Kluyveromyces lactis: one gene and its partners. The protein of the gene in region 3 purifies or fractionates together with the protein of the main gene of each other region. This does not show direct contact. Links are inferred from orthologs where the notes say so. Each region holds a gene or a part of one and is shown on either strand. Other genes may lie near its edges. The genes, in order: KLLA0_D16236g, MSC3, PIL1, KLLA0_F13618g and HSP104.

Region 1 (6,298 bases), on a different chromosome or scaffold from region 3:
ACTGGATTCAGCACCTGCTGCAATTTCACCGGTCTTTGCTTTTCTGTATAAGTGAATTTCTTGAGCACGACAACCGACAACCAAGACAGGGATATCCTGAGGTGGTAATAGCTTGGCACTGACGATTTCTACACCTCTGATATCTAAAATTTTACCGTCCGCAAACAATTCTTGTTCTCGGAACTGCTTCTGTTGAGCAGCGTAAACGTTGTATGGAGCCTCACTAAACCATTGCTTTAGCACAGCTTCGTCACCTTTAACATAGGCCTCCAAGATTTCTGGGATGATATATTCTCTCAAGTGTTTGGTGAAATCTTCTGTATTGAAGGTTGGATCCATCATCTTGAACTGACCGTACACTCTCGCACTTTCGGTCTCTGCAAATAACCCACCAATCTTACCAGAGACAGTTCTTAGCATGACAACTAACGGGTTCTCACTTTCGTCCCACAGTTTAATCTTATATTCATGTAATTTACGACCGACTGGGGTCTTTTCCTTGAAATCTTCGATCTTCTTACCGAATGATTCCTTAGATTCGATATTTGTAGCTACTAACGCAGTACCAGCAGCATCGTTCGATTTCACAGCTCTGGATCTTTTACCCGAGGCAATAGCTTCTTCCTTCATCAATCTTCTTTGTTCCTTGGTGATGAAACCACCATAACGAGAAGAGTCCCCATCGTCAATAACTTCACTCACATCTTTATAAACTTTCGTTTTTCTAACTGGTTCAAAGCTTTCATCCAACTTATCAGCTGTCTTGTTCACAACTTTTCTGGTGGACTTGGCAATTTCAGAATCCCATGCCTTGGAGGCAATGGTTTCCACAGTTTCACCGGTCTTTTTCAAAGTTTTACCCACAATAGTAGAACCCTTCTGAGCCTTGACATACGCTTCGCGAGCTTTCTTGTAAGCTTCGGACTCACCTAACTTACCAGAAGCATCCTGTAAAGCTTTGATATTGTCTTGTAATTCTTTAGACTTCTCCCATTCCTGCTTAAAAGTTTCACGGAAGATCTGTAACGGAGATCTAGGGTTGCTCATAGCCTTAGCAGAGACTGTGAATGTACGCACGGTGGAAGCACGGGCAACTGCCTTGTGCATCATTGCTTGCTGGCCGTTAATTCTCAACATTGGCCTTATGATTTGTAAAGAGGTAAATTTAATACCGATAGAAAGGGCTGGAAAAAAGTGACGATACGGTCAAGGACAGTCAAAAGTAGTAACTGTTCACAGCCTAACTTCTAACTACTTATTTGGATATAGTAAGTCCAATTAAACTCCGATAACTATATGAGCTCTGTGATTATAATGAAAGATATTACTTTCATGAATAACTTTGAATAAAATCGATGATTGTTCATGAAATTTCATTCCAAAAAATAAAAAAAAAAAAAACTTCTCAAAAGTCCGCTTTATTTATATCAAACAAGAAAGACTGAAGTGGGACAAGACAAGGAGTACATTGGCTATCCCCTTCGTGCACAACTTTATCTAATGGATAAAGAAGTAGAATGATAAATCAATATAAATTAGAAACGACATATTTTAGAAATTACAAAGTCCAATGTTTAATGTTATTTCGTTTTAAGATCTCTTTTGTTATTCAATCAACAGTTATGACTTCTTCAACGGTTTCGTAGTCATATAGAGAAGAATTTGTGGTGTTTGCAGGTGGAACAGCTGCTTTCGTTTTTTTGTTGCTACTCTTCAGGGCATTTTCGACTGCACTGGCAGCTTCTGCTTGCCTTCTCAACTTTTCTTCGTGTTCAGCTTCCAGTCTCTTGTCTTCGGGATTACCTCGTTGTTGTGCTTCAATAGCCTTTTCACCTTGTAGACGAGTTCTTTCACGTTCTACTTGTTCACGTCTCTGTTGTTCTTCTTCAAGTTGTTTGGCCGCAGCTTCACGTTGCAACTGTGCCTCCTTCAGCGCCTCGTCGTGAGTTTGCTTCAGGTTAGCCAGCTCTTCTTCGTGCTTCAAACGAGCTTCTTCAGCTTGCTTTTCGTACTCGGTACGTTGCTTTTCTAAACGCTCCTTTTCTAAACGCTCACGTTCCTCTTTTTCTTTTAGCAATTGTTCTTCATGTTGTTTACGCTCTTCCTCCAATCTCCTAGTAACACTAGAAAACTCGACCTTTTGGTTGGCAATTTCTTGTTGAATTAAACCTAACGAAGCAAGTAGTGAAGAAATTTCGGTATTAATTTCATTGACCTTAGGTAAGTACTCCTTGTTGTCGATACTTTCGATCTTGGAGACGTTTTGTTGGTGAAGTTCTTGAGCTTCTTTAATTTCTTGTTCCAATCTGGCCTTCTCTTCTTCCAAAGCTTGAATTTCAGCATTAGTTTCATCCTTCTTAGCCAAGGATTCATTCAATGCAGATGTCTTATTATCCAATTCTGCTGTCAACTCTTCGACCTTCGATTCGTGTTCCTGGTTTTCCTTGGCAACTTCATCTTTCAACAACAACAATTCATCAATTTCAGATTGGACAGTTTGGTGAGCAACTTCTTTGTCCTCTTTATCTGAGATGGTTTGGTTCTTGATTTCTTCAGTTTGCTTGTACAGATCACCCTTGGCGTTAATGTGCTTGACGTTAGTTTCTAGTAATGCTTGAGATTTCTCAACTTGCTTCAACTTCAACTTTTCCTCATGTTCCAATCTAACCTGTTCCATTTGCGCGTCCAATTCAGCAATTTCAGCTTGAATTGATTGGATCTTTTCCTCGTACTCTTGGGCTTTAGTTTCATACCTTTCATCTTGTTCCTTGGAGTACAGGGCCAACTTGGCTTGGTGCTGGTCCTCGTCGTATTGCAACTTATCGTAAACAGACTTCGAGACGTAGCCTTCTTGTGTTCTGACAATTAACTCTGGATCTTCAGGGGTGGCCACTGGCGCATCATCGCCTGGAACAACGGTGCCAGCAGCGGCATTTGCAGCAACTTTGGTCGAGGACTCTGGTTTCTTCGAACGTTTGAAAAGGGCAAATAAGCCTGAAGCTGCAATTCCAGAAGTAGCTGCAGCAGTACCGGCCTTATTGGCGCCACTGGGTGTGAATGGAACACGAGGGGCAGAATTGATATCTGGTGGAGGAGAAATAGCTTCTGGGTTCTCAGTTGCGATAGCTTCGGCCTCTTGGAATGCCTCAACAGCTTCTTCCGGGGAAGGTTCGGCTTCAGGATCCACTGGAGGCTCCTCATTGTCCTGGACAATCGCCTCGGCTTCTTCGAACGCTCTCACAGCGGCCTCAGGTTTTGGTTCGCGTTTAGGATCGACCGGTTCCTCCTCGTCATCCTGGACAATAGCCTCGGCTTCTTCGAAGGCTCTTACAGCCGATTCTGGTCTAGCCTCACGAGATGGATCGACGTATTCATTAGCATCATCTTCCGGGGCCTTGTAAACACCGGTTGGATTTTCTTGTTCTTCTTCTTCAGCCAACGGGACTCTTGGAGGAACTTGGCCCTGCGCAATGGCTTCTGCTTCTTCAAGAGCTTCAACAGCAACTGCTGCTGATGGCTCGGCTTCAGGATCCACTGGAGGCTCCTCGTCGTCCTGAACAATTGCCTCAGCTTCTTCAAAAGCCCTCAGCGCGGCCTCAGGCTTTGGCTCGCGTTTCGGATCAACTGGTTCCTCTTCATCGTCTTCAGCCATAGCCTCGGCTTCTTCTAGAGCTTCAGCTACATCTTCAATGGGAGGTTCCTTACTAGGGTCCACCTCATCCAGTTCGTCCAAGTTATCCGACGCTTCAATTGCTTCCTGTGGCTTGGTTAAATCCACAATCTTTTGAGACTTTCTCCAATAACGTAACTGTTTCTCCTTCTTTTCCAACGCAGTCAATCTAACCTTCTGCTCAGCCTCGGTATCCTTCAACCCAGAAGGAATAATAATATCCTTGGCCTTCTTCACTGACTTGTCGGTAACAACGCTGTACCCCATCTGTTCCGGGTCAAGTTGTACCGCACCTTGGCTCAGAGTAGGGAACTTCTCCTGTCTCACTTGACGCGCACGTTGAGTTTCTTCCGCCGTACGGAAGGGAGAATGGTACTCATTATCATCTAGTTCTTCCTGGTGCTGCTGTTGTTTCGTGGTAACTCGCTTCAAAATACTGTTACTGTTGGTAAGATCATGCTGTTGTTGCTGTTCGGCGGCATGGTCCGCGTCATCGAGCAACCCTGCAAAGGGGTCAATTTCGTTCCGTTTCCTAAACAAGTTCAAACCGACCATTATTAACTGGAGTTCTATGGGATAGGATGCTGCTGTGTGCGTTCCAAACTAAATCAGGATCAGCGTCTAATCGCTGTCGTTGTTTATATGCAAAGAAACTTCCTTCCTTTATTTATATAAAGGAGGTATAATAAATGAAAAGGGAGGAAAAAAAGGGAGATCCGACAGGGTAACACGCGGCTAACTAAAGAAAGCCGGGTAACACCGATATCACATTGGAAATTTTGAAGGGACCTCATATTCTCGCATGTAAATCGCCAAGGTCATCCCATTTTGCTCTTAGAGCAAACAGCAATAGCAAGCGCAAAAAACGCACGGAGAACCACTCATTTTTTGTATGGCCTCGGCCCCCCCACACTGGACAACGGAAATAAGCAAACTAACAAAAAAAAAAGAAACAAAAAGAGGGACCCAGGGGACGGTTTTGTTTACATTACCCTGCCTCCCCTAAAACAAAAGACGTATGCTTTTCTCATCTTCGGCAGGAAACCTGAATGGTTCTGCCGTAGCGATGTCTAATACCGGGTAATGCATGTTCCCCTATTTCTTACTCGTCGCTGCACCGGCATCTGAGCGAATTCAAGGTTTTCCCTCTTTTTTTTTTCCATGTCATCACAGAAAGTTTTTTTTTTTTTTATTTGTTTTGCTGTTTTCAAGCCGAGAAGACATTGAGATACTGCGCCCGGGTCTGAGATTGCTGTCAATTGTTCGTTTGTTTTGGTTTGTTATGAAACTGGAAAACGCTGGAACAAACAAAAACCTTACCGCTAGAATTGCAGGTACTACGGAAGAGCAGAGACTGAAACTAAAAGCTATGAATGAGGCACTTCTTTATTTCTATTCGATACAGAGGGATATCCAGAGAGATATCCAGAGGTTCCAGTTTCAATTCTAGGTCTCTCTGGTTGCTTTCGGCAGAACAATTGGGTCTAGTAGAGACAGATGCAATTACGTTTTATTCTGAAAGAACTGAATGAAGAAGTATAAGCACGGAAAAAAAACAAAAAAAAAAACCATTTCTTGGTAATGAGAAGAGAAGAAACTGTTGTCTTTTGCATTTGTTATTGTTTTTGCCTCTTTCTGTTAAATGGTATTAGTTATACAGAGTTTTTTGAGTGCAGGTATATAAAGGGTAAAAGTTTAAGGAAGAAATATTTCAATCCGGAAATGATTACATATATTGTATGGTTCTATCCTTTAATAAATAAGGGAAACAAATTATAAATTTTTTCTGGTTCTTACTTTACTTCTTTCCTTCACTCTTTTACTTAATATATAAAATAATACTATTATTGTTTAATTAATAATACTTCTGTTATCAATTAAGGTTTAAGTCTTTACATCAATAAAAGATAAATTAAGTTCGAATTTGATTGCTTGCTTGATAAAAAGTTGGTAAAAGAAATCTCTCAAGCTGAAATTAAACCAAAACTCTAATATAAGAAAAAAAAATAGAAAATGCTTTCAATCTTAGACAATTCGCTTCGTGGTGTTAACTTTGTGTTTTTAATCATTGTTCTCGGTCTAGTCGGTAATTTGATTGCTACTCAGGACCATTCTAGTTCCAGAGTTAACTTTGCTATCTTTGCTGCTGTTTTCGGTATCGTTTTCGACTCGTTGTATGCTTTGATAGCTAACTTCATCTCAGCTTTGGCTTGGCCTATCATATTAGTCTCTTTGGACTTCTTGAACTGGGTTTTCACCTTCTCTGCAGCCACTGCTTTGGCCGTTGGTATCCGTGGTGGTTCTTGTACTAACGACAGTTTCACTTCCGGAAACAAGATTGCTGAAGGTTCTAAGGACAGATGTCGTAAGGCACAAGCTTCTACTGTGTTCTTGTACTTCTCCTTTGCCATTTTCTTGGTCAAGTTCATCTTGAGCATTGTTAATGCTATCACTTCCGGTGCTTTCGGGACCAGTTCCAACAGAAAGACTCAAGTCGGTGTCCCAACCATCTCCCAAGTTTAAAGAGTTTATGATACAAAAGAGAGGGAGGGAGAGGGAGATGCGTAATCTTCTGCTCCCGCTCTCGCTCCCGCTTCCACTATTCCTTCTTTGAACAATAGAGAGAGA
Region 2 (5,867 bases), about 470 kb from region 3:
GGTAACAGCTCTGGTACCTTCAGAAACAGCGTGCTTGGCCAATTCACCTGGCAAGATCAATCTGACAGCTGTTTGGATTTCTCTAGCAGAAATAGTAGATTTCTTGTTGTAAGCAGCCAACTTGGAAGATTCAGTAGCGATTCTTTCAAAGATATCGTTAACGAAAGAGTTCAAGATGGACATAGACTTTTGGGAAATACCAGTGTCTGGATGGGTTTGCTTCAAAACCTTGTAGATGTAAGAGGAGTAAGTTTCCTTTCTAGCCTTAGTTCTCTTCTTAGATGGATCGGTAGAAGAGGAAGTCTTCTTAGCAGCTGGCTTCTTTTCAGCTGGAGCCTTGGATGCTGGGGCCTTGGATGCTTTAGCAGACATTATAGTTGTAATATTTGTTTTTAGTAATGTGATAGTACTGGTTTTCAAATAACTAGTGCTTGTCGAGGGTGAATTACAGAACCATATATATTTCTAATAGAAACGGATAATCTATAAGGAGAAAGGGTAAAAGTATCCATTTAGTCAGTCTCTTTATATACAATTTGGTTCTTCGCCATAGTAAAAGCGATTTGCCTTCCTTAAATTGTGTCTTTGGTACTTGTTTTTTTTGTTTTTCACGCTAAAAAGGCATGTCATGACCACAGCTTCGCTGTGGTAAACCGGTTTACTATGGCGGATGGAGATATTCTCCGCGCGTAACCGGTAGCACGGTCTACGAAAAAGTTTCCTTTTTCGGAAACAACCACGGGAGTCCATAGTAAAAGGGAATCCGTTGATTGTTTGAAAAAATGGTTCCTCGACATCTCAAGAGACAATATATTAACATTCCAGGAGTTTCACGGCACAGGTGAAGCTGTGAGAACAGGGGGTTTGTTTTCGCTGCCGCTTTTTCTTTTTTTACTTTTGTTGTGTGAGCGTGTGCTTTGCTCAGTGACACAGTGGCACTACCGTGCCACCGTTTCTTATATAAAGAGGTCACTTCTTGCACTTTCAGTTCCTCTTCTGTTCCTAGTTTAGCTCTTCGTATTGTTTGTTGTTCATCATCACAGATACTACTAAATCAAAAACAACACACAAATCAAACACTATAATACAATATAAAAAATGTCAGGTAAAGGTGGTAAAGCTGGTTCTGCTGCTAAGGCTTCTCAATCTAGATCTGCTAAGGCAGGTTTGACTTTCCCAGTCGGTAGAGTTCACAGATTGTTGAGAAAGGGTAACTACGCTCAAAGAATCGGTTCTGGTGCTCCAGTCTATTTGACTGCCGTTTTGGAATATTTGGCCGCTGAAATCTTGGAATTGGCCGGTAACGCTGCTAGAGACAACAAGAAGACCAGAATCATCCCAAGACATTTGCAATTGGCTATCAGAAACGATGACGAATTGAACAAATTGTTGGGTAACGTGACCATCGCTCAAGGTGGTGTCTTGCCAAACATTCACCAAAACTTGTTGCCAAAGAAATCTTCCAAGGCTAAGGCTTCTCAAGAATTATAATAAGCCTGAGCAAAGGGGGGAAAAAAAAGAATGGAATGCATACAAATTTTATTTTAATATGAAAACAAAATTCATCGGGTCTGTCACTAATATATCTTTCTTATGTTTATTCTGAGTTGGCATTGGCATCATTTTAAACACACAAATTACTTTATCAAACAAGGAGAAATGGGGGGATTCTCTGTTTCATCTCTTTGTATGGGATAGTTATTTTTTATTTGTACTATATTTTAAATATATATATAAACTACTTCATCCTACGTTATGAGGTATATCTTTAATCGTCATGAATTTCGGGTTAGATTACTTTCTTTCAATGACTTTCAATTCTGTCTGTGTTGTTGATTTTGACACATTATTGTCCTTTTCCTGTCTTTTAACATTGAATATTCCCTTGAATGTATTTTAGATTAATTTGGACAAAGTTGTTTTAGATCAAGAAGAGAGTAGAAAAGAAAAATTAATTACTATTAACGGTATAACTATTTAGTGTTGATATGAGTCTTATTAGATTTAAATAACCTTTTGAAGAACGAACCTTTCTCGTTCTTCTTCTTGCTTTTCGTCTTCTCATTGATACGTGGGGTGTTATCGATGGAGGGGGACGAGGCTGGGATCACGTGATCGGGATTGCCTGGTTCGTTTACATCGACAGGAGTAGCAGCAGTGCTAGCTGCTAGCACCGTGGTATCCTCAGTGACGACAACGGGGTTCGCCCCGGATTCGTGTCGAAGCGAAGAAGAAGAACTTGTGTTATTATTGTTATTGTGATTATTGTTATTGTGATTAATATTATGACCACTGGCATTAGTGTCAAAATTGTCAGTTGTTCCATTGGACGGAGCGACGTCCGGTGGTTGTTGAGAATATTGTTTTCCACGGTGTTGTTTTGGTGGTTGATTACCAGAGTTCTCTTGGCTGAACTGGACAACCCTATCGAGTATACTCTTGACTTTTTTCTTTGGATGTCGGCTCTTTTCATTTGTTGGAATCGCCGCAGTAGGTTGTTGCAATTGTTCGTGTTGAATTTGTTCCTCACGCGTGGGCAAGTGCAGTGTGGTCGGGAGCACATGTGGTTGCTCGACATCTGCATCTTCAAGTATCGGTGTCATTTCGTTTCTAGATCCATTGTCTGTACTATGCGAAACTGTTTTTGTAGGATGACCATATTTCTGTTGAGCAATCTCCAATGCTATAGCATACATCTCCTCTTGGCTTAGTGTCTTCTGATCAGATGTAGGAACAGTAGGGACGGCAACTGCTTCATTCCGTTTCTTACTTTTGAATATGGATTTTCTTTTCGTGGCGTTATTGTCCGGTGTAGCTTGATCCGTAGTATCCTTTTCTGGTTCAAGTTGTGCATTGGGAGTATCTCTCAAAGTCATCCTCTTGGACATTGTACTTTTCCTTCCAACTGATTTCGCTTCTGTGTTCTGAACCTGCGATATACCTTGATGTTGAACTTCTTGCTGCTGCTGCACCCCCTGTTTCTGGACCAGGGGTTTTCTTGAAGTGTATGATTTTGAATTGTTATCAACATCAACTTTATTCACTTTTGCCAGGAAATGGTCCTGATCATCTTCCGCAAATGCACCTGATTCTTCAACGACATCTGATGCGTCAGTGAAGTGCTCTTCCCCTTCCTCTTCCGAATCACTTCTGATGTTATTCGCAGCTGAGTTATTTATAGCATTCGAGTTGAAATTGGCCAATCTCTGGTTTGTCCGTGGTTGCGATTCGGATAACGGAGCAGCAGGAGGAGTGGCGGACAGCTCATCGGAGATTGGGAACTCATCATTTTCAGCAAACTGCTGGAAATGAAACTGAGGGTCTTCAACCAGCCCAGCAGTTTGCGTGGTAGTTTCCACGTATTCCATCCCGTTGATCCTTCTTATAGTCTGCGTCGTGATCGATTGCGTTCTGCCCATCATATCTTTAACCTCTTGTGTCTTGATGATAATAGATCCGTTACCACCTCCAGCAAATGAACCGGTCCTTGAACCAACCCTGGCTACTGAACCAGTCATAGAACCAGTTCTACTGCCAACACCACGACTGGAAGCTGTACCTGTTCGTGGTATGGCAGAAACAGACCTTCTATTCCCGACATTACCGGTTCGAGGAGCGTATGCTCCACGAGCAGTAAAACTGTAACTTCTAGGAATATAAGACGATTGCTGTTGCTGCTGTCCAGGATGACCCATCCGGAGACTGTTAGCTCTTGATATATTTGTATAGCCTCTTTCTGGATAATTCACCAGGGATCCAGCCCTTGCACTAGCAGCAAAGGCCGCATCTGCAGAAAGCTCGTGGCTCTTAAGGTAATTATCACCCTGATTTACAGAATTACCACCGCTACCATTGTAATGATAGTCATACCTGGATAAGTCTGGAACCCTAGTGGCTTTTCTCCTGTTTCCTAAATTCATACCAAATACCATTGTTGAGGATTTCGATGTATACTGTTCAGTATAGCACTTTGACCAGAGAAGAATAGTGATATAAGCCGAGCAGCGAAAAGGGTATAATTAAGCTTCCTCAAATTTCGCTATTTAAAGGTATATTATATATATGTCCGTATTTATATACATGCTTCTTTGTTTATATCAATGCATCCTTTATTATTATTCTGTGATTTATGTTCCATTTTTCACTTATGGAACAATCGAAATTTGCTATCTCTGCGAATTTATATCGAGAAACGGTTAGAAACGGCTGTACAAGAAAGCAAGGAAACCAGGGTGTTTGCTTCGAGACAGAAAGGAGTAGACGCAATATGGGACCTGATTCAAAATAGCAGTCTGTTGCAAAGGACATTCAGACAGGTTTACGATGGACAAGTTTACCAGGTAAGGGTACGATGTTTTGGTCCGTTCGGAATATGAACGCACACAAGATATATATGTATGTATACAGTCACGTGATTATTTATAAACCACGTGACACAGACCAAATCACATTTGGGGCTGTCATCAACGACGTACAAAGTGATGAATTCTCTCTCCAACTCACTCAGCTCAATTACGCGTGCCACTGGCCTCGAAACGTGTGATGTTCGTACTTGTATCAATGACGACCTCTCTGAGGTCGTCATACATAACTATCCAAAACTGAATTCCACTCGTAACCGCATTTCCCCCTTCTCTCTTGGATCAATGGAGTCACTTTTTTCATTCCAGCATGATAATTTCAACATCAAAATTATATAAGTATGAAAAAAAAGTTGATGATAATTTGAACGAAGAACTATATTCCATGTTTAACCTGAACTTGAAATGTTATAAGAATTTCTGACACGTTTTGTTTTCTTGCGTGATTGCTTCAATGCAAGAGTATATTAGTATATTATATATCTTGATTAAATTTTTATGAATTATTTTCTTGTACTTTAATTTCAGGTATATCCTCAACGATCAGTAGAGTCATAAAACTACAAATATAAGTAACCAGCGATGTCCCAAGATTTGTCCCATGTTCCAGAATCCATCAGAATGGTCTTGATTGGCCCACCAGGTGCTGGTAAGGGTACCCAGGCTCCTAACTTGACCGAAAGATTCTGTGCTTGTCATTTGGCTACCGGTGACATGTTAAGATCTCAAGTCGCCAAGCAAACTCCATTGGGTATTGAAGCCAAGAAGATTATGGACGATGGTAAGTTGGTCTCTGACGAAATCATGATTAACATGATTAAGGATGAGTTGACTAACAACCAAGACTGTAAGAAGGGTTTCATCTTGGACGGGTTCCCAAGAACCATCCCACAAGCTGAGAAATTGGATGAAATGTTGGCTCAACAAGGTAGACCATTGGAAAAAGCCGTTGAATTGAAGATCGATGATGAATTGTTGGTTAGCAGAATTACTGGTAGATTGGTTCATCCAGCTTCTGGTAGATCTTACCACAAGGTCTTCAACCCTCCAAAGACTGAAATGAAGGACGATATCACCGGTGAAGATTTGGTCCAAAGATCTGATGACAACGTCGAAGCATTGAAGAAGAGATTGACTTCTTACCACAAGCAAACCGAACCAATTGTCGATTTCTACAAGAAAACTGGTATCTGGGCTGGTGTCGACGCTTCCCAACCTCCAAAGACCGTCTGGTCTGATATCTTGAAGTGTTTGGGTAAGAACTAAACTTGAATATAAATTTCACTATTATTTATGGTGTTTCCCATTTTATAACGAATCAGGATATGAATCAAAAACAACAAAAAAGTAGCATAGATTATGATCAGCACCTCACCCAAGATATCGTATCTTAGCTTTTTTTTACCTTCTTTTGGTGGTGTATAGTTTATGTAACATCAAAAGTACAGAATCATTTAACGATAATACCAATAGTGTTCTGTTTTTTAAAATAGGGAACAAGGTAAA
Region 3 (4,809 bases):
AGGTACTACTTGACTGATAACTTGCCGCTTATCACTTTCTAACTGACAATTCTATATATTCTTTTTTATAATGACTGTCACCCAAATCCTATTCTTTTCAGCATGTTGGGTTTTGTATGATTCTTAAATTTCAACATCGGTTGAAAAAAAAGGGTCGCAGGCTCCATCGTCAGTATGGCTATATAAAGAAATATTGAGAAGTACGTGCAAATTGCTATTGAGTTAAGAAAACGACAATTCGTAGACAAAATCACTGTTTATAATTTAATCTTTCGATAACGAAGAAATTCGGTTAGAAATCAGTCTCATTTAGTTCAACTCAGAATTGTGTTTTATATCCTCGAGTGAAGACAGACCAATCGACATAATAGGTAAAGAATTAGGAAAGATGTTCAGAACAGCAGCAAGAAACCTTGGCGTGCCATTAAGAAGAAGTGTTTATGTTGGATTCAGCGGTAGTTTATTAGTCGGTGGTGGATCGTTGTTGCACTCGATGCAACCAAGCTCATATATCATGAACGATTCAATTGTTGATGTTAAGCAAAGAACGAATCTACCACAAGAGCTTGGATTGCCAAGCCGTGTTGATATAAGTTCGAAGCAAAGAAGAGTCAACTACAGACAAATGTGCTACGGGTCAATTTTAGGTCTAGTGTTCGGTGTTATCTTTGGTAAGATATCAAGTCTTCTCGTGTTCATCACCGGGGTTGGATTCGTTGGGTTACAATTCTTGCAGAACAGGGGAGTTATCAGCAGTGACAGCACTCGTTCTCTTTCCAAATACGTTGTGACCATCGGCCGTGAGAGGATTGATTTGAACACATTGATCTGGGACAAACCCAGCTTCAAAGTCTCATTCATCTTGACATTTGTGCTAGCTGCACTTAACGTCTGATTGGTTCCGAGAACGCTACCTTATTCAGTTCACGTGACTTTTTCTCATGTGAAAACCCAGAATATCCTATAACGTTATATTTAAGAATTAGTAAAATAATTATTGTGTGTAACTCGCTTGTAACATGATTAATTACCAATCATCAAAGACATTTTCATAAACGACTGGTAGGCTACATTAGACTGGGTTGTCAAGGAGATAAGGGAGTTTAAACTAATGAGTATAGTTCATCCAGATACCTCGAAGTACGAGTTTAATTTCGAGCCATTTCTACGGAAAGAATATTCGTTCTCGTTAGATCCAGATAGACCGGTATGCCAATACTATAATTCAAGAGAGGGGATAAAATCCTGTCCCAACGGAGCACGCTGTCCAAACAAGCATGTGCTACCGATATTTCAGAACAAGATTGTTTGTAAGCACTGGCTCCGAGGTCTCTGCAAGAAGAACGATCAATGTGAATATTTACACGAGTATAACCTAAGAAAGATGCCCGAGTGTGTATTCTTCACCAAGAACGGGTACTGTACACAATCACCGGAGTGTCAATACTTGCACGTAGATCACAAGAGTCAGTTAGAAGAATGTGAGGATTATAATATGGGGTTCTGTCCATCGGGACCTGCATGCACGAAGAAACATGTCAAAAAGGTACTTTGCCCCAGATACTTGGTAGGGTTTTGTCCACTGGGTAAAGATTGCGACTGGTCGCATCCCAAATTCAAAGTACCTTCAGAACACAGCAAACTGCGCATCAAGAAAGACGAGCATATTAATACAAGAAAGATGGATGAGGAAAGGGAAAGACGCTTGAATGCCATTATCAACGGTGACATCCTAGTCACGTGACTGAATTTTTTCAGTTTTCATCAGTGCGTTCGTTCTCAGCCACTGCTGCTGTCACTATTCACTATTCAGCTCACCATACGTAATTCGATACAGATACAGATACTAAGTAACATAATACTACACAATGTTACAGCCGGATAATTCTATCAACCGACAGCAAAAGCAACACACCTGAAAAATTAAGGGAACCAAGGCTCACATACCTTAAATTGCTTATCCAATAGGTATCAGACCTCTCAGCCAAAATCATTCGCTGAGTTTCATTTATGGACACGCGGTCGACATATTCCCCAGTATAGAACACTCCATTCCACAGTTTCTTTCGGTTTCTTTTTTTTCTTGCAATACTGATAAGCATTAACCCTGAGAGCGGACGCATGAATGTACACCAGGCAACAGCGTGAGTTCTTGAAGTCAGTTTTCTAATACACCTATAACTGGCACTAGCCAGCTACTGGGATGGCAGTCTCGCATCACAGCAAGGCTGTCGACCGGTACCTCTTCGTCACTTCGTCTCTCCTCTGCTGCTGTCTATGAACCAGCGAGGTTTTGCTCAAAATGGAAAATGAAATTTTCGACGAAAACAAACAGAAATAAAAAAAAGGGAAAAGGGTAAAAAGGAAAATTAATGGAAGCAAGGTTTTTCCAAAGCAACTTCCGGCCACTTTTAGGAGAATTGCCATTGCATTTGGTAATTTATTTGTATATATATATAACACTTCTATATTTAAAAGTAAGGTTACTATTGTGATAATAACACGCAAGCTATTAATATTGAACATACGCTCAGTTATATAGAGTTCATTTGATCGAGTAATAGTTAAAAAAAAAGATAAAGACACCATATATTACAACCATGCACAGAACATATTCTTTGAGGACTACCAGGGCACCAACTGCCTCTGATTTACAGAATCCACCACCACCACCATCTTCTACCAAGAGCAGATTTTTCGGTAAGGGTGGTTTAGCTTACAGTTTCAGAAGAAACGCAGCTGGTGCGTTTGGTCCTGAACTTTCACGTAAGTTGTCTCAATTAGTGAAGATTGAGAAAAACGTGTTGCGTTCTATTGAATTGGCTGCTAACGAACGTAGAGATGCTGCTAAGCAATTGTCGTTGTGGGGTTTGGAAAATGACGATGACGTTTCTGATATCACCGATAAGTTGGGTGTTTTGATTTACGAAATGTCTGAATTGGATGACCAGTTCATCGATCGTTACGATCAATACAGATTGACTTTGAAGTCTGTTAGAGACATTGAAGGGTCTGTTCAACCATCTCGTGAAAGAAGAGCTAAGATCGCTGATAAGATTGCCTACTTGAAGTACAAGGACCCACAATCTCCAAAGATTGAAGTCTTGGAGCAAGAATTGGTCCGTGCTGAAGCTGAATCTCTTGTTGCTGAAGCTCAATTGTCTAACATCACGAGATCAAAATTAAGAGCTGCTTTCAACTACCAATTCGATTCCGTCATTGAACATTCTGAAAAATTGGCCTTGATCGCAGGTTACGGTAAGGCTCTTTTGGAATTGTTGGATGATGCTCCAGTTACTCCAGGTGAGACTAGACCAGCTTACGACGGTTACGAAGCGTCTAAACAAATCATTATCGATGCTGAGAGTGCCTTAAACCAATGGACTTTGGACTCTGCTGTTGTTAAGCCATCCTTGTCCATCAGAAACTTCGATGATGCTTACTTGGATGAAGAAGACCAAGAACAATGGAATGACGAAGAAGCTGAAGCCGAAGCTCAAGAAGAACACCCAGTTGCTGCTTAAACTTCTCACTCTTCTACTCCTTAGGTGCTTCTAAAAATCTCTTTTGTCACAAATTTATTATACTCTTATTCGCCCCTATTCGTTTTGTTTCGATTCTTTTCAATGAGTAGCCCACTGGCTGGCAAGCAATTTTTTTCTCTATTCGACTAACCTTACCTGCTTTAATATAAGTGCCAACTACTATCTCTTAATTGTCGTTTTAATAAAATACAAGTATTAACTCTTTAAAAAGAGAATTTTAGGGGAAGGGACTTTTCCCAAAAGGTTTTATGCCATGAGAATATAGGAAGACAGGTGGGAAATTCAATTTCCTATTCCTTTTGCATCTTTTTCTTTGTGAATGACTATGCCTTACACTACGAAATGGCTGTCTTCTGATCATGAATTACTTTGGTCTGTTCTTTGAATGTCTCCATCGCATAATCTTGAAATTATTGGACGGAAATACTGTTGAAAAGATTCAGAAACTGGAAACGAAAAGCAAAGCGAAAGACACTTACAAAGAAAAAATGTTTTTAATATATATATAATATTGATTTAAGGATTGACAATCCTCATTTACACTCATTGTTTCTCCCTATGTACTACTATGTATCAGCAATTCTAAAATAATCTGAAATTTCTATTAAGTCCCTTATACCTGTGCATTTTCTCACCACGTCAAACTTTAAATTTCCAACTGAAAATCTATCATTCAATGATTCCAAATATTTGGCAAGTCAAAGAATATAAATGAACACTTATAAATGCAAGAAGAATAGGGACCAAACACTGTGTGACTGATCAATTGCATCATTGCTTCTTTCTCAAGATAATATAACTCTCAATACTATGGAAATTGACGAGTTTCAACTCGATTCAAAACTATCGAAGTTCGAGAATCTATCGGGCAAATTATCGACCAAATCACAATTACCAAAGCTACTTCATTTGATAGAAGCTGATTATAGTCAGACTTCTAACGCTTTAAACAACTATATCAAAGGCTCAAATAATAAAATTAACAAATCGGTAAGGTCCTTGGAGTTAGGGAAGACCAATTTAACATCAACATTGTCTTTTTTCCATGAAGCCTTGGAATCTCTATCTAATTCTAACGTGCAATCGATATCAATTTCCAATAGGCTTAATTCCATCAAGGATGAAGCAGACCATATTAATCAATTGGCAGATTTTGTAGATTCTGTCAAACTTTTGAAGAATAACCTAAAAATAATAAATGATGCATTAGACACGAAGGAACCAAATTACCCAATGATAGCCCAATGTATCTATGAGATTGATC
Region 4 (6,249 bases), about 500 kb from region 3:
GGATCTATAAGGACAACCGGGGCCGTGTGACCACCTTCCCTAGTGTAGCTTCTGCCCAATCATTACTTGAGACGAGTCTCGATCTGAATAATGATTTATCGTATTTGCCTATCACTGGGTCGCAGGATTACCAAAACAATGTGTTAAATTTCTTGTATCGAGAGTCAAGTGACGGGAGTGAATTATTGGAGAACAACAGAATCACGTTTGTGCAAACTTTGAGTGGTACCGGTGCATTAGCTGTAGCTTCAAAACTCTTGGCAACGTTTGTGTCGAAAACCGTATGGATACCAAATCCATCTTGGGCTAATCATTCGAACGTTTTCCAATGGAACGGATTCAATCAGATCAAATATTATACGTACTACGAGGATGGGAAATTGAGTATCGATAAATGGCTCAAGGAACTCAAGGAGAGTTGTAGTTCTAGGGACCCCGACTGGCCCCCCTCTATAGTGTTACACGCTTGCTGTCATAATCCAACAGGAGTGGACCCTACGTTGGAACAATGGCAACAGATATTGCCAGTGATCCATGATTTAGGAATAACTCCCATAATAGACATGGCGTACCAAGGAATGGAATCAGGGAACCTTATACAGGATGCTTATCTATTAAGAATGTGTCTAGAATACGAATGGCCCAACGGTCTATTTGTGTGCCAATCGTTTGCTAAGAACATGGGCTTATACGGTGAACGTGTAGGTTCGTTAAGTGTCGTTGTCCCACCAAATCCCTTGGATCTCAAATCAACCATCGACTCTCAACTAAAGAAGATTGTAAGAGGTATATACTCTTCTCCACCGGGATATGGGTCTCGTGTAGCGAACTTGGTGCTAAGCAATCCAAAATTGAAGCAGCAATGGTTCGTAGACGTTAAGAATATGTCTGATAGACTATGGAACGTTAGAATTCAAATGCATGAGAGATTGAATTGGCCCAATCTTGTTGATTTTAAAACACAACATGGGATGTTTTATTACACAGGGTTAAACCCATATCAGGTTCAAATTCTGCAGGAGAGGTACGGTATTTATTTAACTGAAGACGGCAGGATGTCGTTATCTGGAGTTAACGACGGTAATATTGATTATTTATGCGATTCTTTGCGCCAAGTGGTTCAATAATCACATCAAGATGTTTCAATATCATCAAATTGACTTTAATTAATTTCACTTTATTTATTTATTTATTTATTACTACAAAGCTTCGGTTTGAATTGTACATTAGATAGTTTTTAGTGTTCTTAATCACAATTTTTGGGTAACTAGAATACAAAAGGGATTATAAATGCCCATTACATGTGTTTCGTGTTATATTAGTCGCTACTTTTCAGTGTTTCTTGTTACCGAAAAGCTTCTTTAGTTTACTGCTGAAGTTGTTCTTCTTTTTCTTCTCAGTAGTGTGAGTTGCGTTTATTTGAGGCTCTGGCTGAGGTCTCAAAGTAGCATGAGGATTGTATGGCGCGGGTGGAGGAGGTGCCGGTTCATATTCGCTTGAAACTTGAGTAGATCGACTCCCTTGGTTGCTGAACTGTAGGTTTGCGGATTCTTCGTCCGAATCAGAGTCGGCAAATCTTGATTTGAATCCATGAGCAATTGACGACGCTTTTGGTTTGTTATTGTTGGTATTGGAAGCAGGCAGTGGTACTGATCCGGAGACATACTGTACACCATTGTACGTTACTCCACTTTTAACAGGGGTTGAGTTTCTAGATTGTCTTTGTTGTGGATGTGGTTGGAATGGGGCTTGAGGCTGCTCGTACTGGTCAGTGAGTTGCGGATCCTCTCTCAACGATAAGTTTTTAAATCCAAGGTTGGTGGACATCGGTCTTTGCTTTTCGAAGCTTGAACGCTTTTGAGGAGGTTCCCTTGGGTAAAGTCCACTATTTTGTTGCGATTTGGCATTGTTGGACGGCTTCCCTACGACACTTCTAGGTCTAGCATCGCGAGGGGAAGCAACACCGGAATTATTCTGCATGAAAGAACGTCTATCACCATTAACTCTTTGAGCCATCATTGATTGCGGTCTTTGAGAATTTCTCTTAGGAGCTAGAGGCTGCTGGTTTTGCTGTTGCTGTCTTCGGTATTGATTTTGTGCTTGTTGTTTGCTGGCGGTTTCTCTCAAACTTTCGTGAGAAAGTTGCGCATTTAACCTAGTGTTTTCCTTTGTTGTTAAAGACAGATATGCGCTTGAAGCTTGAGATTGTTGTTGAAGTTGTTGGCTGTTGTGGTTTGTTTTCTTCATTGCGGATTTTATAGGTGAAGGAGTCTTTTCTAATGGAATCTTAGGGGTAACAAGAGCATCCTCCTCATTAACTCTCTGGAGTTCTGGATTAGCGGACCTGATATACTGAGCGAGGGTGCTTTTGCCTGTCTCCGGTTGGGACTCCGGTTGGGACTCCGGTTGAGATTCTGATTGACGTTCAGCAACGATAGGATCTTGAACTTCAATTTGATGTTCCTCTTCATCAACCACTTTTTCAACTATAGTTTCCTGGACACCATCGTTGCCAGGAAGAGCCTTTTCTTTTGAATCCGGAATATCTACTTTAGATGTGTTATGCTCTGCTTTTTTGAGAGATTCCTTGTCAGTTTCCTTCTCGGCATTAATCGTTTCATCTGGCAAAGAAGTAACTTCCTTCTGATGTGTAAGAATAACGTGTTCTTCTTCTACCACTTGCTTTGAATCAAGGTCGATCTTTTGTTCAACAGCTTCTTTGGTAACGCTTAGATCAGTATGAATTTTTGGCTGTTCTTCTTCTGTCGCTGAGTCTATCAAATCTTTAGTGATAGCTCTTTCAGGAGTCTGTGGTAATGCAGTACCGTTACCGAAGGATGGGGGTTTGAATTCTTCGACTGGAGCTGATGTTTCTTTGGCTGTAGTTGCATAGACAGTCTTTGTGATTCTAGGCACCGGTGATGGCGAAGACCTATAATGAGTAATATCCGCTTTTTTTTCTTCAACGGTAGGAACTTCTGTAAGTTTTTTCAATGGGGTTCCAGAAGGTGTTCTATGTCCAATTGAGTTTGCTCTTAAAGAGGCATGACTCCTTTTATTAGAAAGTGAGTTTCTTACAGTCATCCCACCACGTAAAGAAGTCGACCTTCTAAGACTGTTTCTCCTCTCAGCCTCGTACTGTTCCAAAGGAACTTCGACTTTGACCAACCCATGGCTGCTAGGAATGTATCTAGATACCATTTTAGGCTCATTATTGTCATTATCAACACGTACCAGACCACTGGGTCCTAGCACATATTTGGCCTCATTACCACCAAACTCATGGAAAACCTTGTCTGCATCGCTTTGAGCAACCCTGTTACCACTCTGTACGGAACGCATCGAGCCATACCTGGAAGAACGATCTCCAGTATCACTAGCATGTCTCACAGAGTTCCGACGAGAACTTGGTTTGGGACTGTTTACCATCGAGTAGGAACGGCCACTTATACTGTTATACCTGGGAATCTTACTCTTATCTACAACCTGGCCCCCAAACGAATCCTTAGAAGGTACCAGTGCCTTCCCAATGGTGTTTGCAGCAACCAAAGCACCAGGATCAATAGAACGCGATTCTCTTGACTTTCTAGAACGAAACATTTTTTTTATAAAAGCAACAGCAGCTTCTTTAATCCCTCTCTTGAACCAATTCCACTTAATATATACTTTCAGCTGACTGATACACGAATTACACCTGTTCTAGTGCCCTCTAACAAACAGTAATGGTATTTTACGTGCCTTTGCTTTCGTTATTTCTGTTGATGTTCGGCACTTAAAGTTCGATTTGAATGTTTTGCCCTTTTTTTTTTTCTGTTTTTATCTCAAGGTATCAATCATTCGAAAAGAAACCGAAATAAGACCAAATCGGACCTAAAGGTATGAAAACAAGAGACAAGAGGGTTACCATTGGTGTTACAATGTTAATAGTAGGTAGGAGGGGAACGGAATTGATCTGACGGGTTTGTTAATTATATATGTGGAGAATGTATCGGACAAACTAGAAAAATTAGATAAACTGTACGCAAAATGAGAAAAAGATAGAGCCTTTCTTACTCGACAGTCACGGATTTAGCCAAGTTTCTTGGGAAATCGACGTCGATACCGTTGTTGACTGCCAACCAATATGAGGTCAATTGTAATGGGATAATGTTCAATAGACCTTGTAGACAGTCGACAGTTTGTGGAACTTCCAAAGTAATCAAATTGTTGGCCTTGGCCTTGTTTTGCCAAACTTCATCGTTTTCGTTGCAGATAATGATTGGATGACCCTTTCTGGCTATCACTTGTTCGATTGAGGAAAGGACCTTTGGGAATAGGGAATCTCTGGTACCGAAAGCGATGATTGGTAAATCTTCGTCGACTAATGCTAGAACACCGTGTTTCAATTCACCAGCAAGCACACCTTCTGAATGCATGTAAGAGATTTCTTTGATCTTCAATGCACCTTCCAAGGCACTTGCGAATTGGTAACCTCTACCTAATAGAAGTAAAGATTTCTGATCCTTCAATTCTTTAGCACAAAGTTCTTTGATCCTTGGTTCCACGTTCAAGACTTCTTTGATTTGACCTGGAATCAATTTCAAACCTTGGATGATCTCGTTTCTTCTTTCGATCTTGGAGACTCTATCGTCTGATAGAGAAAGAGCCACCATTACTAATGCAATATATTGTGATGTATAAGCTTTTGTTGATGCAACACCGATTTCTGGACCAGCATTGATGTGGACACCGCAGTGAGTACTTCTAGAAATGGAAGAACCAACACTGTTCACGATACCCAAGGTCAATGCACCTCTTTCCAAACAGTAATTCAAGGACAACATGGTGTCAGCAGTTTCACCGGATTGGGAAACAAAAATACAAACATCGTCTCTAAAGATTGGGCATTTTCTATCCAAGAAATCTGACGCTAATTCCACTGATACTGGAATCTCCGTTAGCTCTTCGAAAATGGCTCTTGTAGCTAAACAAGAGTGATAAGAAGTACCACAGGCGATCATTATTAATCTACGAGCTTTCCTGATGGCAGACAATCTAGACTTTAGACCACCCAAGTTGACCAGATTGTGTTCAAAATCTATTCTACCTCTCATGGTGTTCAAAGTAGATTCTGGTTGTTCATAAATTTCCTTTTGCATGAAATGTTGGTATGGACCCTTCATAATTTGAGCCAATTCCATCTCAAGGGTTTGAATGGATCTGGTGGCAGATTCTGTCAATTTTTTGTTAGCTCTATGGATGTGCAATTCACCGTCGTAGATGTGAGCAATATCATCGTCTTCCAAGAACAAGACCTTCTTGGTGTGTTTTACAATGGAGGCAGCATCACTGGAAAGGAAAAATTCGATTGGAGATGGAGAACCGTCTTCTGATAAGAAAGCTCTTGATTGAGATCTACGCAAGGTACTTTCGTCACCGGCCAATGGAAGCAAACTTCTATCAGCATCGTTCAACAAGTTACATTCGTTGTTAACTGGCAAATCTGGTAACTGCTCAGAATCTGGGAATTCAACGTCGACGAAATCAACCTTCAATTTCTTTTCAGATTTAACACCGATCAACAATGGGGAACCCTTTCTTGTGGCGATGATTTCATTTGGATAATGAGTAGACTTACACAAAAGACCGTAAGAACCTTCCAACTCTTGCAAAACTTGCATCGTTAACTCATGGAAATCTGGATCATGACCGTTCTTCAAATTTGTGTCGTAGATATGCTTGAATAACTTGGCAATACATTCAGTATCGGTATCGGATTCAAACTTGTACCCTTTATTCGTCAAAAGCTGTCTCAAATCTCTAAAATTGGTGATGATACCGTTGTGAACCACAACAAAAGTACCGCTTGGATCAGATCTGTGAGGATGACAATTCACCTGTTTTGGCTCACCGTGTGTAGCCCATCTGGTATGAGCAATACCACAATGAGTGACAAAATGCGCGTCCCTGTTTGGCTTATGAGCTTCGATCTCTTTCTTCAAAGCAGAAACTTTACCGATTTGCTTGTAAATAACAGTTTCGTCTTCTCTGTCACCATCAATAGCAATACCAGTAGAGTCATACCCTCTGTACTCTAATCTCTGCAAACCTTCCACTAAAGTATCGATGATCTCGCCACGAGATTTCTCAACTAAAAAATTACAATAACCAAAGATACCACACATTCTATCGCGTTCCTAAACTATCTTGCCTCAGCGTCTTTTCTAATGCTACCGCTGGAACACTTTAGAGTTACTGGATCCTTTGTTA
Region 5 (6,280 bases), about 900 kb from region 3:
TGAATTTCCTGATTTAGAATAAAAAAAAGTCGATTACCTCCAGTACGCGTTTGGTATGGAAAGAAACCCTGGCAACATGACAATTATGAGTTTACCCACAGTGGCATTATTGACTGTTTTTTCTTTTTAACTTGCATGCAAATACGGCACATTGTTCATACTCAAAACGGTGTTGGAAAAATGCAACGGCAGAGTTGGGAAAAAACGGGTTGCTCTCCTTATATGCAAAACAAATCCGCACTTGAACTAGTTAGCGTGGCACAGGTAAATAAATAATAATTATAGTATCTGTTAGCACAATAGGAATTGTGGTAACCATGGCAATTGTAAGACATAATTCAATCAATCAATAAAATAGTAAATCGAACCAAACAAAGTACCGGTAAATCACCCTCAAGTTCCTGTACTCTTAATAAGCCAGAAACATTTCAATCTTGTAATCCGAACAACAGTTACTGCCAAGATCCGGCCTCCTTCATTCTGTAGATAAAAAAAACCAAGGAGAACACATGTCCTTTTGCATACAAACTAAAAAATAGGCACCTGAGATGAATCTACGAAATGAAACGAATTTACAGTGCTGGATTTTCTTCGCTTCTGCATTCTTTCTTAGAGGCCGATAAGCGTTTTTCCGTTCCTTCCCTTCCGACGCGTTTGCGTCTTATCCCACACATTGGTACGTGTGTCTTCGAATTATAGAGAGGCTCGTATCCAAATGCGAGCGTACGCTTTAGTCCATCTGATTGCCTGCTAATTTTTGACATGTAATAATGGAAGCCTTTCAGGGAAAATGATCTACGTCTATCTCTTTACCAAGCATGTTTAGCGATGCCCAGAACGAAAGGTATATGGGATGTTACTCAGCCAATAACTCCACGGAACGAGGGAAGAAGAGGAAAAAAGCCGAAGATTAACATTCGTGAGGAAAGAAGCATGATTTGAAGAAAGACCAATCAAATTCTTTTGAATCATGTGCAAAATTGGACTTACTGACTTGGGAAATCAGTGAAAAAGGCTGAAAGAACCCTGCCCATCTAAGTAACATGTAATACAAACTCAGCCAGAATGCTTAGTTAGTACGCTTGTATGAATAACAGCAGCACCATTGGTTTGCACCTCTTATGAACATGAAAACATGTAAAAGTCAAAATATTATACTAAAGAAAGTGAAAAAAATATGTACTTTACACTATATATGATGGTACTGTTGAACTGAAATTTTATTACTGAGTGAGTTTGTTTGTATGTTTTCTTTTTGTAATTCATTTTAGATCAGTCTAGGTCTAAGTCGTCATCGTCGTCCAAGTCCAAATCCATGTCTTCATCACCAATTTCTGATGAAGCTGGGTGATTTGGTAAAACTTCTAAATGAGATCCATCGGCACCCACTTCTACATTGACAATTTCTTTGTCTTTGATCTCACCCTTCAAGATATGGATTGCCATTGGGTTCAAAATCTCGGTTTGAATTAATCTGTTCAATGGCCTAGCACCCATATCCTCCGAGTAACCATTCTTGGTCAAGAAATCCCGAGCTGGTGGTGAAACGTTGATCTTGTAATTCTTATCATTATCCGCAAATTGCTTCTCCAAGTCTTTGATTCTGATATCAACAATTTTGTGAATGGCCTTGTGAGAAAGCTTGTTGAATACCACGATACTTGAGATTCTATTCAAGAATTCTGGTCTGAAATGTGCTTTAACGGCACTCATCACCAACTCTTTGGAACCCTCAGTAACCTTTGATCCAGTCTGAGCATTGATAAATTGGGCACCCAAATTAGAAGTCATAATTACAATACAGTTCGAACAGTCAATTGTCTTACCTTGACCACTAGTGATTCTGCCGTCATCTAACATTTGCAAAAGAACGGTCAAGACATCAGGGTGGGCCTTTTCGACTTCATCAAATAACAACACACTGTATGGTCTTCTCTGTAATTGATTAGTTAAGAAACCACCTTCTTGGTAACCAATGTAACCGGCAGTAGTACCTAATAATTTCGAAACTGAATGTTTCTCCATCAATTCTGAACAATCGATTCTGACCATAGCTTTTTCATCATTAAACAAGAAGGATGCGACTTTCTTAGCTAATTCAGTCTTACCGGAACCAGATAAACCTAGGAATAAGAAAGATGCCGGTTGATTAGGGTTAGACAAACCAGATCTAGAAAGTCTGACAGCGTTAGAAACGGCTTTCACAGCCTCCATTTGACCCACAACTTGTTGCGATAACTCACGTTCCATATGGATCAACTTTGTGTTTTCAGATTCAGTTAGTTTATTCACTGGAATACCGGTCATTCTAGCGGCAGTCTCGGCAATAACCTCGCTGTTAACCACGTTCTTCACCATTGTTTCAGAACCTTCCCTGGATTCTTCTTCAGCAACTTTTTGTTCCAATTCCTCAATACGTTTCTTGATATCCGGAATAGCAAAGTATTTCAAATCAGCTGCGGTAGCATTATCGTAACGACGTTCGGCATCCATGCATTTGTTTTCCAATTCATCGAGCTTCTTTTTGGCTTGTCTTAGTTGTTCATGAGAATCCACTTCCTGTTGGTAACGCTGTCTCATTGGTTCCAATTCCTCAATTAATGAAGCTTCCTTTTGTCTGGCTTGTTGTAGCCTTTCTTTTGTCGTTGGATCCGTTTCTTCATCTCTTTCTAATGCCTTGATTTCAACCTGTAGTAAATGCAATTCGCGCTCTTTATTGTCTAATTCTTCGGGCTTAGAATCACGAGCAACAGCGACACCGGCACATGAAATATCAACCAAGTCAATAGCAGAATCAGGTAATCTTCTGTATGGCAAGTACCTCTTAGCTAGTTGAGCTGCAGACACTAGGGCACTATCTAGAATTCTAACACCATGATGTATTTCATACTTTGGCTGTAAACCTCTCAAAATAGCTACCGTTTGCCTTGTCGTTGGTTCAGGGACATCAATCTTCTGGAATCTTCTTTCGAAAGCACCATCCTTCTCGACCAAAGATCTATATTCGTTAGTGGTAGTGGCACCAATTACCTTCAAGCCACCACGAGATAAGGCTGGTTTCAAAATATTAGCAGCATTGGCAGAATCATCTACACCTTGGCCCATCAACATATGAATCTCATCGATGAATAATATAATTAAAGTCTTTGATTCCTCGATTTCTTTCAAGACACCTTTTAATCTTTCCTCGAAATCACCTTTATATTTGGCACCAGCCGTCAATGCAGCAAGATCCAAAGAAAATAATTTGCAACCCTGTAGAATTTGTGGAACATCATCGTCGATAATTCTTTGAGCAACACCTTCTACAATGGCAGTCTTACCAATACCTGGCTCACCGATCAAACATGGATTTGACTTGATTCTTCTAGCAAGAACAGTGATGGCAGTTCTAATTTCTTCTTCTCTACCGATAACAGGATCCAACTTACCTGCTCTAGCCTGTTCAGTCATATCGATCGCATACTTCTTCAAATATTCCCATTTTTCATTTGTATCAGCGTCTCTTGAATCAATTCGTTGATTGCCTCTCAATTCGAGCATCTGCTGCTTCACAGATTCTATGTCAATGGAACACTCCTTAAAAATGCTTTGAGTTGTTGCATCTTTGAACAAAGCAGTCAATATATGATCTTGACCGACGAATGAATCTTTTTGCTGTTTCCTAATTTCTGAAGTATCTTTCAAGACCTGCCCGAAAGCATAACTTGGCTGAATTTCTAATGGTGCGGGCGTCTGAGATGGAGTCCTGACTAGGTTTCTGTTGATGGCCCTTTTCAAAGGTTCATAATCATATTTCGCTAATTCCACCAAGTTTTGTAAGAATCCAACAGAACCATCCTCGTTTGGCTCAACAAATGCAGCAAGTAAGTGAATTGGTTGTAACTGAGCATGTCTGTGATCCTGAGCCAATTTCTGGGCCAAACGGATAATTTCGTTGGCCTTATTTGTAAATTGTGTTTCGTCGTTCATTGTAGTAATATCTTCTTTCTAGACAATAAACTGTTGATGCGTTTGATGATCCTGACAATTGTTGTTTATTTCTATCAGATAGACCACTATTGATACAATTGATGTAATTGAATTCCAAAGCAGGAAGCACTCAACAAATGATTCTTCGGATGGTCTCCCTTTATATACCTCTTCACTACGCTTATATTCTATAAACTTTTTTTTTCACCTATTCTTTCTATAAGCATCTATCAAAAGATACCCTAAAATCACCTTATTAAGAAAACTAATAGCAAAGCAAAATATACCTCAACCCCTATCTCCCGGTACCAGTCCCAGCTTTAGTATTGCCCAATTCACAGACAAACAAAGCTCTAACAACTACATTACTTTTCCAGTATAAACCAGTACATTCTCGAATAATTCACTCACTCAAGGTTAAGCTTTTAAATTACCGTTGGGACTGACGTTCATGGCTACGTAAAATAGAAAATTGTAAGTACGTCCTTATTGTTAGTTGAATACTAGATCAAACAACCAGCTATCCCAGCATGTTGCTTACGGCAATGTAGAAGCTGTGTGGGGATTGTAAAGCTACTTAAAATTCACTCTGCTCTAAGCTAGAGTCCGGAACCGTGATAGCTAGAACATTACCGGATTTTTCTGGAAGACTCTCGAAAGTGCATGTCCACAAAGAAAACCGAAGAAAAAAACTGGAACAAGTGGATCACCATCACGTGATAGATTTTGAAATTTAACGCTAGGTTTTTGGAACGCACTTCTGTTTCGATGTCAGGCGTCAGTTTTGTAATTCACGTTAATTAAGACAATATCATTGGCATTGTGTCAAGTTTTGGATAGCAACATATTATTATTTTCCTTGTAAGATCTACATATGTATAACTAGATATTCCAGCTCATGTGCGTGATGATCTTTCGTTTTTGAATCAAATTAACAAGGACATCATGAAAGCAATAATGGAGCCTATGGACGAAGTTCTCTTCCAATTATAAGCATCATTTAGGGCAGTAGAATGATCAGTCTCAGTGCCATTGTAGTGACCGTCATCTGTTTTCCATTCAGTGTCCGTTTCGTTCTTTACCTCTTTGTAACCTTCCTTCAATGCAGCAGAGGTAGTGTGATGTGGTTTCTTGGTGAAACTCGTCTCAACACGTTTTTCTTCAGTCACTGAAGGTTCAGCTTCGGAGTATTCATCATCATCATCATGTTTTTTGTTCTTCTTGTCACTATGTTTTTTGTTCTTCTTATCTTCCTTTTGCTTTTTCTCTTCTTCCTTCTTAGCCTTTTTCTTCTCTTTCTTGGTTTTTTTATCTTCTTTTGGCTTCTCTTCCTCAGACTTTTCGTCCTTTGATGTGTCGTCCTTTGGATCTTTTTCCTTTGGTTTGTCTTCCTTTGGTTCGTCTTCCTTTGGTTCGTCTTCCTTTGGTTCGTCTTCCTTTGGTTTGTCTTCCTTTGGTTCGTCTTCCTTTGGTTCGTCCTCCTTTAGTTTGTCTTCCTTTGGTGGTTTTGGAGATGGCTTCAATTTCTCACATGGAACAATGTCAGCGCATGCATATCTTGTACCATTAGAATAATGTAAGGTAATTGATCTACCTCCAACAAAAGCGGGATCACCCTCGATCAATGATAAGTATGGATCCAAATATTCCGTCTCGTAATAACTGTAGTCGATGTTACCGTACTTACCACTTAAGTCACCAACTTCACATTTGGAGATATCATTACCGCATGGCACCTGCCCATTGTAAGGGTTCAAGTGTTCTTTTGTAGACTCACAAGTTGGATCGGATGGATCAACTGGTTTTTCGTGGATGTGATATTGAAGCTTTGGCTCCAAAGTCGATATTCTGACGTTTACCTTGGCAATTCCATCAAGACTAGTGAAAGTGTGATGTATCCACCAACCTTATCGGAGCCAACCTGAGGAAATTCTGCAAGGTAGCAGGCTTTCTCTGGATTTTCATAAACAACTGGCGCAGACTCTCTATCAGCACCTGCTAGTGCTATTGGAAGAGCGACTAAAATTGGAATTAGCTTTTTTTGTTGCATGACAGATATATTCTTTTAAGTGTAATTGAATAAAGACTTTGGTAAGTTTGTTTTCCTGGACTTGTTTAAAAAACCGGTTGGAATACGAGTGCTTATTTAAAAAGTTCCTTAGAGAGTTTCTAGGTGGTAATAATACTGTAAAGTAGAATAAGAGAAGTGCCTTTTGTGACGGTAAAAAGAGAAGTAATTTTATCCTATACAAAGAGGTTTATATATTTAAAATATTTCAGCGTGACAAGGAATGGGGTACAAATACAG

What was found.
Region 1: the proteins of PIL1 (region 3) and KLLA0_D16236g purify together in Saccharomyces cerevisiae (affinity purification with mass spectrometry; 4 studies listed by BioGRID). This does not show direct contact. The link is inferred for Kluyveromyces lactis from reciprocal best matches to the Saccharomyces cerevisiae genes PIL1 and YGR130C.
Region 2: the proteins of PIL1 (region 3) and MSC3 purify together in Saccharomyces cerevisiae (affinity purification with mass spectrometry, with the first as the bait; 3 studies listed by BioGRID). This does not show direct contact. The link is inferred for Kluyveromyces lactis from reciprocal best matches to the Saccharomyces cerevisiae genes PIL1 and MSC3.
Region 4: the proteins of PIL1 (region 3) and KLLA0_F13618g purify together in Saccharomyces cerevisiae (affinity purification with mass spectrometry; 6 studies listed by BioGRID). This does not show direct contact. The link is inferred for Kluyveromyces lactis from reciprocal best matches to the Saccharomyces cerevisiae genes PIL1 and SEG1.
Region 5: the proteins of PIL1 (region 3) and HSP104 purify together in Saccharomyces cerevisiae (affinity purification with mass spectrometry; 3 studies listed by BioGRID). This does not show direct contact. The link is inferred for Kluyveromyces lactis from reciprocal best matches to the Saccharomyces cerevisiae genes PIL1 and HSP104.

Annotation. Positions count from the first base shown.
Region 1 is NC_006040.1:1,365,109-1,371,406, forward strand, and holds KLLA0_D16236g (uncharacterized protein), read right to left. Parts: upstream 4,226-6,298; coding exon 1,610-4,225; downstream 1-1,609. Other genes in the region: protein translocase subunit TIM44, read right to left, coding at 1-1,137; KLLA0_D16280g (MARVEL domain-containing protein), read left to right, coding at 5,684-6,193.
Region 2 is NC_006042.1:1,229,646-1,235,512, forward strand, and holds MSC3 (Msc3p), read right to left. Parts: upstream 3,933-5,867; coding exon 1,974-3,932; downstream 1-1,973. Other genes in the region: HTB1 (histone H2B), read right to left, coding at 1-372; HTA1 (histone H2A), read left to right, coding at 1,099-1,491; adenylate kinase ADK1, read left to right, coding at 4,944-5,627. UniProt on the Saccharomyces cerevisiae protein: May be involved in the control of meiotic sister-chromatid recombination.
Region 3 is NC_006042.1:760,854-765,662, forward strand, and holds PIL1 (lipid-binding protein PIL1), read left to right. Parts: upstream 1-2,600; coding exon 2,601-3,524; downstream 3,525-4,809. Other genes in the region: FUN14 (Fun14p), read left to right, coding at 389-895; cleavage polyadenylation factor RNA-binding subunit YTH1, read left to right, coding at 1,112-1,744; Golgi transport complex subunit COG4, read left to right, coding at 4,356-4,809. UniProt on the Saccharomyces cerevisiae protein: Negative regulator of cell wall integrity (CWI) in unstressed cells, probably by inhibiting protein kinase PKH1/PHK2 activity and regulating their downstream CWI pathways PKC1-MAP kinase pathway and protein kinase YPK1 pathway.
Region 4 is NC_006042.1:1,259,659-1,265,907, reverse strand, and holds KLLA0_F13618g (uncharacterized protein), read right to left. Parts: upstream 3,601-6,249; coding exon 1,333-3,600; downstream 1-1,332. Other genes in the region: aspartate transaminase AAT1, read left to right, coding at 1-1,127; glutamine--fructose-6-phosphate transaminase (isomerizing) GFA1, read right to left, coding at 4,050-6,164.
Region 5 is NC_006042.1:1,665,974-1,672,253, reverse strand, and holds HSP104 (chaperone ATPase HSP104), read right to left. Parts: upstream 3,973-6,280; coding exon 1,273-3,972; downstream 1-1,272. UniProt on the Saccharomyces cerevisiae protein: Required, in concert with Hsp40 (YDJ1) and Hsp70 (SSA1) and small Hsps (HSP26), for the dissociation, resolubilization and refolding of aggregates of damaged proteins after heat or other environmental stresses.